2 linked regions of the Neurospora crassa OR74A genome follow. The protein of the gene in region 1 interacts with the protein of each later gene in a biochemical or structural test. Links are inferred from orthologs where the notes say so. Each region holds a gene or a part of one and is shown in the gene's direction. Other genes may lie near its edges.

Evidence for each region. The genes of interacting proteins can lie anywhere in the genome.
Region 2: the proteins of NCU17030 (region 1) and NCU03690 form a complex in vitro, tested with the Saccharomyces cerevisiae proteins (2 studies listed by BioGRID). The link is inferred for Neurospora crassa OR74A from reciprocal best matches to the Saccharomyces cerevisiae genes HRP1 and KAP104.

The regions. Positions count from the first base shown.
Region 1 is NC_026505.1:5,321,071-5,325,523, reverse strand, and holds the start of NCU17030 (heterogeneous nuclear ribonucleoprotein HRP1), read left to right. Parts: upstream 1-1,497; 5' UTR 1,498-2,112; coding exon 2,113-2,156; intron 2,157-2,222; coding exon 2,223-2,675; intron 2,676-4,148; coding exon 4,149-4,189; intron 4,190-4,307; coding exon 4,308-4,453. Other genes in the region: NCU04241 (TBC1 domain family member 22A), read right to left, coding at 1-255, 338-463, 531-540, 630-648, 714-758. UniProt on the Saccharomyces cerevisiae protein: RNA-binding protein, which is involved in the polyadenylation-dependent pre-mRNA 3'-end formation and cooperates with the cleavage factor CFIA complex and the cleavage and polyadenylation factor (CPF) complex.
Region 2 is NC_026505.1:2,091,257-2,095,822, reverse strand, and holds the start of NCU03690 (importin beta-2 subunit), read left to right. Parts: upstream 1-1,754; 5' UTR 1,755-2,326; coding exon 2,327-2,428; intron 2,429-2,518; coding exon 2,519-4,566. Other genes in the region: NCU03691 (hypothetical protein), read left to right, coding at 1-18, 70-324. UniProt on the Saccharomyces cerevisiae protein: Functions in nuclear protein import as nuclear transport receptor. Serves as receptor for arginine/glycine-rich nuclear localization signals (rg-NLS) and PY-NLS in cargo substrates. Its predominant cargo substrate seems to be mRNA-binding proteins.

The DNA.
Region 1 (4,453 bases):
GACCTCCTCTTCATGCTGGACAGACTGGGAAGCCCAAAGTCATCGTCACCATCGTCTTCGTAGGCGTATACATCGTCTGCGTCGTCGGCCGCCCAGTCTTCGTTGGTGCTCGTTATGAAATTCATGTAGTTTTGGAAAGGAGGTGATGTCACCCCTTTGATATGGGGCGAGGCTGTACTATTGGAAGTGGTTCGGCCGAGGGCAGAGGACGAGGGAGGAGGGGTTCGTGGTCGCGATCCGGCGTTCGACAGATTTCTAGTCCAAGAGCGCCATAGTCAGCAAAGACGCCGTCGTTTCCCAGAGAGACATCCAAACAGTAACGCCGGCACCAACGCACAATGAATCAAACTTGAGCATGTCGGCATGGGAATAGGCAGCGCCAACGACCTTGCCCGAGTCGCGAGTGGTCGTCTTCTTTAGCGGGGCATCCTTCTGGGGCGCTCTCCAAAAAGGGGAGCCAGAGCTGTCGCATTGTCCGAGTCATGTCAGTGTTTCCGTCTTTGAGTTTAGGAATAGGACTTGGGACATACTCGGACCTGTCTGAAGCCATGACGGGACATGGGATCAGCAACTGGTTATACAACAAACAACGAAAGAGGGGGGGGTTGTAGTCATCAGGCAGGACATACCAACTTGCACCATCTCCTGCTGGCGTAGCGACATCATGGCCTGTTAGCATCATTGGAGTGAGGAAATGAAGCACTAACACGTACCTGGGGAGACGCTTTCTTGCCCGAGCTCGAAGAAGAAGAAAACATTATGTGAGTGGGTAGTATACAAACAGGACTGGTGATTTCGCCTTGGTTTACCAGCGCAATGGCATCACACCATGGTCAACAATGTCGTTCGTTGAAAGGGACGGAGGGAATGTCCATGGAGCTAGACAGGCAGACAATGGAAGTGGCCGTTCCTGTTCCCTTCAATTCATTGATGGCGTGGTCGTGTTAAGCCCATCGGCTCGTTTCCTGGGTACACAGCGGTTGCCAGGCTCGGGGCCACTAACAAACACATGGCTTTTGGCAACCGGGCACGTCCAGGGCATCTTGCCCATCATTCAGGTCATCTCATCTCGGTGTCTTTGCCTTCCTGTTCCAGCAGTGATTGACTTCAGTTGGACACCGTCCGCCTGTCACAGCTCGCCAGCTGTTCGCCAGCCTCAGACGGGCAGCCGATGTCGCTCACAACTTGAACCACTACAGCGCATGGGCAGCCCACCTCAGAGGGTGTGATAAGGTGCGCTGGACTGGCACCCCCTTCCCCGCAGGTACACAGGCCTCGTTGTATAGGCTGTTTCTCACCGCCTACGCGCCTAGAGGTAATTGGCCCTTGCAGACCTACCATAGGTACCTACCTCTAGACACGCGACTGCCACCTAGGTGGGCAAGGGAAGTGCCGTAGAGGAGTCATGTAGAGGTAGTACCTAAGGTAGGTAACGTCTTTTTGTTAGTACCCGACCCCAAGTCTTGGTTGCCGGAAGCGCCCCAACTCGCGGTGCCGGTGCCTTGAATCGGGGTCCACACCCGACCGAACCTTAACACTCGGCGCCAAACTGAATGGGACTGCAGGGCAGCGGCGAGGGGACTGAGGCAGGCAGACTGATGGAGTTCCAGGTCCGGTTTCTTCACTTGAAAAGCAAACGACGTCCACTCTTCCACACTTTCCACCTTCACTTTTCTACCCAAGTCAAGTCATCCTCGACAGCAGCAATCACAACCACAACCGACGACTTCATTAGTTCACTTGTACACCCAATCCGTGCCCAAATTCGGGTCTTTTGATCTGAGGGAGGAAACTGTACAAGCACCTGACGGACTCGACTTCCACCCACCTCGGGCTCTACTTGAGCTGCTCCGAGGTCCATCCGCCGCATCTCTTCTTGCGACGAGACAACTCGACCACTACGATCCATTCGCGTCTCGCTGCTTCTCGACGACTAGACCATCTTAAGTTGTGTATTCTTTCTGACCTTGTTCGGCCTGGTCTACTTCCAGCAATCCTTCCCCGCCCTACGCCATCTCAGCGTTCCACACAAATACCAGTCTGAATCAACCTCAACTCTCATCTCTTTTCCATCTTCGATACCCGGTATTCAAACACACAACAACCGCCAAAATGGCCGAAGCAGAGAATTACGAGGATGACCTCTTCGACGACCTGTATGTTATTTTGAGTACTCGCGTAACCACCCAATCTGAACATGATCTGACACTCTTGCGAACTAGGTACAACGACGACGACGCTCCCGCTGCCTCAAAGCCAGCCGCTGCACCAGCTTCCGCCCCCACTACAGCTCAGACTTCAGCTACTGAGCAGCCTTCTCAACAACAGCAGCAACAGCAGCAACAGCAAGAGCAGCAGCAACAAGCTGCCGCCGTCCAGCAGTCGGCTGCTGACAACTACGGAGGATCCAACGACTACAGTCAGCAAGGCTACTACAATGGAGGCAACGGACAATACGGCAACGATGAGGAAGAAGACGAAGACGAAGACGATATCGACTTCAATCTCGGAAGCGGCCCGTCCACCACGGTCGCTCGCCATGAGGACGACAACAACAACCAAAACAACAACCAAAACAACAACAACAACAACAACAACAGCCAGTCTCAATCGCAATATCATGCTCCCCCACCGACCCAGGCCCAACACAAGGGCCCCAATGCCAAAGAAGATGGGTAAGTCACATCCCCTTGATGCTATTCGTGACACACGTATATGCTCGTAACATCCCCCAACCCCCGTACAACCCCTCTCTGTATCCTCGATTTCGCCCCGACGCAGCTGCAGCCCCGCCCAGGCTCTCCCACATGAAGAGATGAACACCTACTCGAGACCCGCTCAGGACGTGGCGTCCCAGAACTGCTCGGTTGGCTGGTAGGGAATGGAAGGATTGGGCGGCGCAAGGACCTGATGAGCACAGTAGAGTCTTGGTATCAGACACTCTGAGTTACTCTGGCGCGTATGGGTGAACCATACCGTATGGATGCACCAGGGGCTACAAGACTGCAAGTGATCAAAGGCAGGAAGGGATCGCTCTCCGCTATGGACGTGAACATAAAAATCGGGAGAAAAGAGGCTGGAAGCCGTGGACTTGTCCAGGGTCACGCCATGGATCAAGCTTCGACGTCAGATTGATCCCGGAGTACGCTCCTGTCTGTACTACAAGAATGGTGGATGGCCTTGCGGAGGTAATCTTAATAGGGCGTGAGGGAACCGGCTTCCTTTTGCCAGGACGGTCGATGAGCCTGCAGCCAGAGCAAGATTAGCAGCGAGAAGGGCAGCACCCAGAACAGATACAGACAGTACCTAGCTTGACGGTAGCAAAGAGCTCGAGACAGCAAAAAAATTCGAAGAAAGATTCCGGCACACCCAGAGACCACTTGGAAAGTGGAACATTGCTGCGCTGCTGCATCTTCTGTTCACTCTGGGAACTGCCGTAGCATCCCCCCACCCTGGCCCATTTCCGTCAAGTCAAGTCAGCATTCGGCACATTAGGACAGCAGTCGTCTCGTCACCCTTGAGAACATCGCGGAGGCGGCTTCCAACTTCTCATTCGCCAAATGACAACCATCATACGGTCCTCGGTCGGTGGGCTCCGCCAACCTGCGAAGCCAACGGGAGAATCACATCCATTGCCACACCCACAGTCAAAACACCAGGCCCAGTATAAACAAGATGAAGGGTAGTTCTTCGGATATTGATGGTGGAGCCCATGCTATGTCAAGGATCATGACGGTAGACGGTCCATGTGGTCGAACTAGAGGTCTGGGATAGACATTACCTGAGGCTGCTCAAGTCCTGGCGCAACGGCTGGGCAAATGGGCTTGCTTCCCCAGTTCACGCTATATGCACGCGCCTCTCCAAACAACGGCTACAAACATGCTTCCGCATCACACTGATTGGTAGCTCTTGGGTTCGCGTGTAGCCATATGCGGATTCGCTCAGGATTTGGGTGTCTAAAGGGCTAGGCGGCTGGGGCTGTTTGCTTGATCACTCGCAATGTCTTTCTCACATCCGCATTTCATCTCATCGAGCCCACACATTCTTCACTGCCCTCATGTTACGCTTACTTGTTCATGTCCAGGTATCATAGATTGCTCAAAAGATGATGTTGACTAACGTCTTGCGCGTGCGCTTGTGTCTTATAGGAAGATGTTCATTGGTGGCCTGAACTGGGAGACTACAGACCGTAAGCCTTGCCATTTTCCCTGTCCTCTCCTCATGGTAATTGTTGCCCTCAAGGGGCACCATATGTACCATATGGTATTCGTGACAGTTGTACTGATACCGGTCTTGTGACTTTTTAGAATCCCTGAGAGATTACTTCTCGCAGTTCGGCGAGGTTGTAGAATGCACCGTTATGAGAGATGGCGCCACCGGTCGCTCGCGTGGCTTCGGATTTCTTACCTTCAAGGACCCAAAAACAGTGAACATTGTTATGGTCAAGGAACAC
Region 2 (4,566 bases), about 3.2 Mb from region 1:
GTTTATGCACTGCCCGATGTGAGTTGATCGCCTATTCGATACATTTTACAGTGACTAATCTTGGTCTAGAGATACAACCCGACACAGCCTTTGTCAACTCCTCTTTGTACGGTTGAGCCGACGTTGGAGTTTACCACCCGACTGGCAAAGCTGATCACAAGGAGGACGCAACTGCCTACCTATGTGGGCAACTCGGTGAGCTTTGCCAGTGCCGGCCTTGGCGGGACTGTTGAAGAGGAGATGGAAGCTTTCAAACAGGTAGCCGAGCTTGTCCTATCCAAACTTGAGTTTGCCAACGCGACGCCCAATGGAGTCCAGTCCTGAGCCTCGAACGTTGACAAAAGAACCCTTCCCAACTACAATTTTTCTTTTTGCTACTGTTGATGGGCACAAGTTGTTGCACACAAACACCTCGGCCTTTTGGCCAAGGGGATTCCGGCAGTTCCCTTCTCAACGAATTTCCGCAAACGCTTAGTTTGAGCTTGCCTAACCTACTCACCTTTTTTTGAACGTGCCACAAAGGCGTGTCGTTTCCCACGAATCCATGACCCAAGAAGGCCATGGAACTGTCACTCGTGTTCGGTTACCTGCTTGATACATGTCGGGTATTGGTAGCAATATGGATTGGCACCATATCCCGACGGGGCATGGCCGAAGGCGATTAACCTTCAGAGAATTGACGGAAATGTTCTGAACCCCAAAGCCCTGGTTATGATGAGGCAAAGGGTGTTATCTGCAGTTTCATATTTGGCACATCAACATGGCCGCGGGATAGATCGGCTCACAAAGCTGACCTGGCAGGTTTGGCAGATCTCAGTCGTCTGTTACACAGCAACACTGTCGTGGACCTTCTGGCGACATCCAAGTTCCATGTGTCTGGTAGGTCTGAAAAGGACGACTGGTATCCCGCCTGTGCTGGATGGACATCATCCGGTCTGTACAGCAAGAAGGAGAGAAAGAGGTGACGAGGAAAACTCGCCATCCAATTCCCAAATCATAGAAAGCGGTCTAGAAACTCAGTTCCCACCAAGCAGGCTTTTAAACTAAAATAGAGGCCACATGCGAGAGAGGATACCTTACCCTTACTGCCATCCCATCCTTACAACGCATAAAAAACCTAGCTTTTCTTCAACCAAATATGACCCGATAGGTAGGGTGGTTCACAAGCTGGGAAATGGGACGAACCCAAAAGTATCAAAGTCTCGGCCAGGCCCTTGGTCGAGGTTCAAAGGGCCGGGCGTCTCATTGACTGCGACGCCAGAAGCTCTGCCGATGACTCCTCTTGAATGAATGACCCCGGTGCCATTTGCTGTTCGATTTCCTTCGGGCATTAATGAGTTGCTGCTGTAACGGTGCCATCCACTTCAAGGCGCGTACGTGCATACGTAGGTAGCAGGAAGCTTAGCATTATCAGAAGGGGTTTTGTGCAACCATCAAGCGGGCGGGTGGCCGCCATACATGAGAGGTACAGAGCGGGAGAGAGAGACGACGACCTCATCAAGCGTCCATGGGAGGTTGCCCCGGCCCCGCTCTTGGACAGAACGAAGCTACAACCGCCCACGCAGAGCTAGCACCTGAAGACCACTGACCACACCTGCCACATTTCTTGACAGGCCCGCATCTCCTAGGTAGGCGAGCAGGCTTGGCATCGCACAAGTGCCAGTGCAGGTGTGCAGGGCAGGGGCGGCACCTCCACTTGTCTTCAACAAGTTTCCGTTCCCTTCCCCTCGACCACTTGCACTTGACGGCACAGCAAAAAATAGAGGCCAGCCAAGGCCCACTTTGCACCCCACATTAAACATTGCCCTGCTCGAGCCTTGCCCGCCGCCCACCCACGACCACCATCGATGTCGACCTACCGGTAACCACTGGCAATTGCTTCTGGGTATCGATCTCTTTCATCAACGAAACAACACCCTGCCTCCTTCCCGAGGACAAACTGCCGGTTCTTGTCTGCAGCTCTTGCTACCCGTCGGCCTGCCAGATGCGACTACCCACGACCAGCTTCAACTAAACGAACCCTAAAGAGTACCTCCGCCTTGAAGGCCGCGCTGTGGTGACCCGGCGCCTCTCTCACAACTGAACTTGCACTGTCAGAGAGTTCATTCGAGTCGGCCATTTTTTTTTCTTTTTTTCTTTGGGCCTCCCAATTCTGCGTTCGACTCTTCAGCAGTTCACCGGTATCGGCCCGACACCATCGTTCTGGTTCTCGTCAGCTACGAGATATCAAAGTCCGAGAACCCACCAACCGCCGCCGCCGCCGCCGCCACCACACGACACATCGCCGACGTTACGCGCCTGTGTCACTTCAATCCCAATTATCACCATGGCTTGGCAACCGAGTGGAGAGAACCTGAAGACTTTGGCACAATGTCTGAAGGATTCCCTGAGCGCCTTCAACAAGGCCGCCCAGAAGCAGGCTGAAATCGTGAGTTAATGCCCCTCGGCACCATCTAGTTACCCAGTCTGATGGAGCATTGCCACAAGACAGAGATTCTGACTTGTCTTTATAAACCAGATGCTTAACCAAGCGAAAGCTTCGCCCGATATCAACAACTACTTGGCCCTGATTTTCTCGAGCTCGGAACCACCCCAGGAGTTTCCAGCGACTGCTGCAGACTGGCATGTTGTGCGCTGTGCCGCCGCTCTGATGCTGAAGAACAACATCAAGAACAACTATAACAAGATTCCAGAACAGAGCTTGGCTCTTGTCAAGTTGGCTGTCCCCTTGGGGCTCCAGGACAAGAACTCACAGATCCGCAGTCATGCAGGCACTCTTGCGACTGAGCTGATTAACAAGGGAGGAATCTACGGCTGGCCCGAGTTTCTGCCCGAGTTGCTCAAGATGTTGACCAATGAGTCTGGTCAGGTAACGCCCGAGGCGCAGGAGGGAGCTATGGCTGCCATGGCAAAGATCTGCGAAGACAATGCGAAGATGCTAGAAAGGGAACACAACGGCCAAAGACCTATCAACTTTCTCCTTCCAAAGCTTATTCAGGCAACCAGGAGCGCAATTCCCAAAGTTCGCGCCCATGCTCTCACAGCCATCAATGTGTTCACCCCTAGGAAGTCGCAGGCCATGCTGAACTCGATAGATGACCTTCTACAGCACCTCTTTGCTCTGGCTGAAGATCCCTCAATCGATGTCCGAAAACAGGTCTGCCGTGCTTTTGTGAACCTGGTGGAAACCCGTCCGGACAAGCTTCTGCCCCATATCGAAGGCCTGGCCAAGTACATCATCGCTCAACAAAAGGGTGACGACGAGGATCTTGCCACTGAGGCTGCCGAGTTCTGGCTGACTGTTGGAGAGCACGATAACCTGTGGCGGGCCCTGGAACCGTACATCACAGACATCATCCCCGTACTTTTGGAGTGCATGGTCTACAGTCCCGAGGATATTGCTATACTTGGAGGTGCTTCGGACGATGAGGATGAAGAAGACCGGGAGGAGGATATCAAGCCACAGTTCGCCAAGAAGAAGCTGACCCGTGCTGCTAACGGAAACACTGCGGCTGATATGGCGAAGAATGGAAACGCGTTCGAGAAGGTTGCAAGCATGGAGGAAGACGACGATGATTTGGAAGATGGCGAAATTGACGACAGCGAGTCCGAGGGAGATGAGAATCCCGATGAGAAGTGGACTCTCCGCAAGTGCTCAGCGGCGGCACTTGATGTATTTGCTCGCGACTTTGGCGGACCAGTCTTCACTTCTATTCTACCATATTTGCAGAGCAACCTCAAGCACGCGGATTGGTCTTACAGAGAAGCGGCTGTTCTCGCCCTTGGTGCTGTTGCTGAGGGCTGCATGGACGTGGTCGTTCCCCACCTTCCAGAATTGGTGCCCTATCTTGTTAGTCTCCTCGACGACGAGGAGCCGGTGGTTCGCCAGATTACCTGCTGGACCCTTGGTCGATACTCTGCGTGGGCGGTTAGCCTTGTGGATCAGGCAGAAAAGGAGAGATACTTCCTGCCTATGATGGACGGAATTCTCAAGAAGATGCTTGACAAGAACAAGAACGTTCAGGAGGCTGGTGCCTCTGCCATGGCAAACCTAGAAGAGAAGGCAGGCAAGGCGCTCGAGCCTTACTGCGGACCCATCATCCAGCAATACATCCGGTGCTTCGGCAAGTACAAGGATAAGAATATGTGGGTTCTCTACGACTGCGTTCAGACGCTGGCTGAGCACATCGGCCCCGTCCTGGCTAGGCCTGAGCTTAGTAACCAGTTGATGCCAGTCCTACTGGATAGGTGGCAGAAGGTGGGTGATGAGTCCCGGGAGCTTTTTCCCTTGCTCGAGTGCCTTTCCTACGTCGCTATGGCCCTTGGCGATGCCTTCACCCCTTACGCCGAGCCTATTTTCGGCAGGTGTATTCGAATTATTCATCAAAACCTGGAGCAGGCCATGAAGGCCAAGACCAACACCGATCTTGATCAACCTGATGAGGATTTCCTGGTCACCAGCCTCGATCTTCTCAGTGCCATCATCCAGGCCCTAGACAACGACAAGGCTTCCAAGCTTGTTGCCAACGTCCAGCCAACCTTTTTTGAGCTGATGGCTCTGTGCAT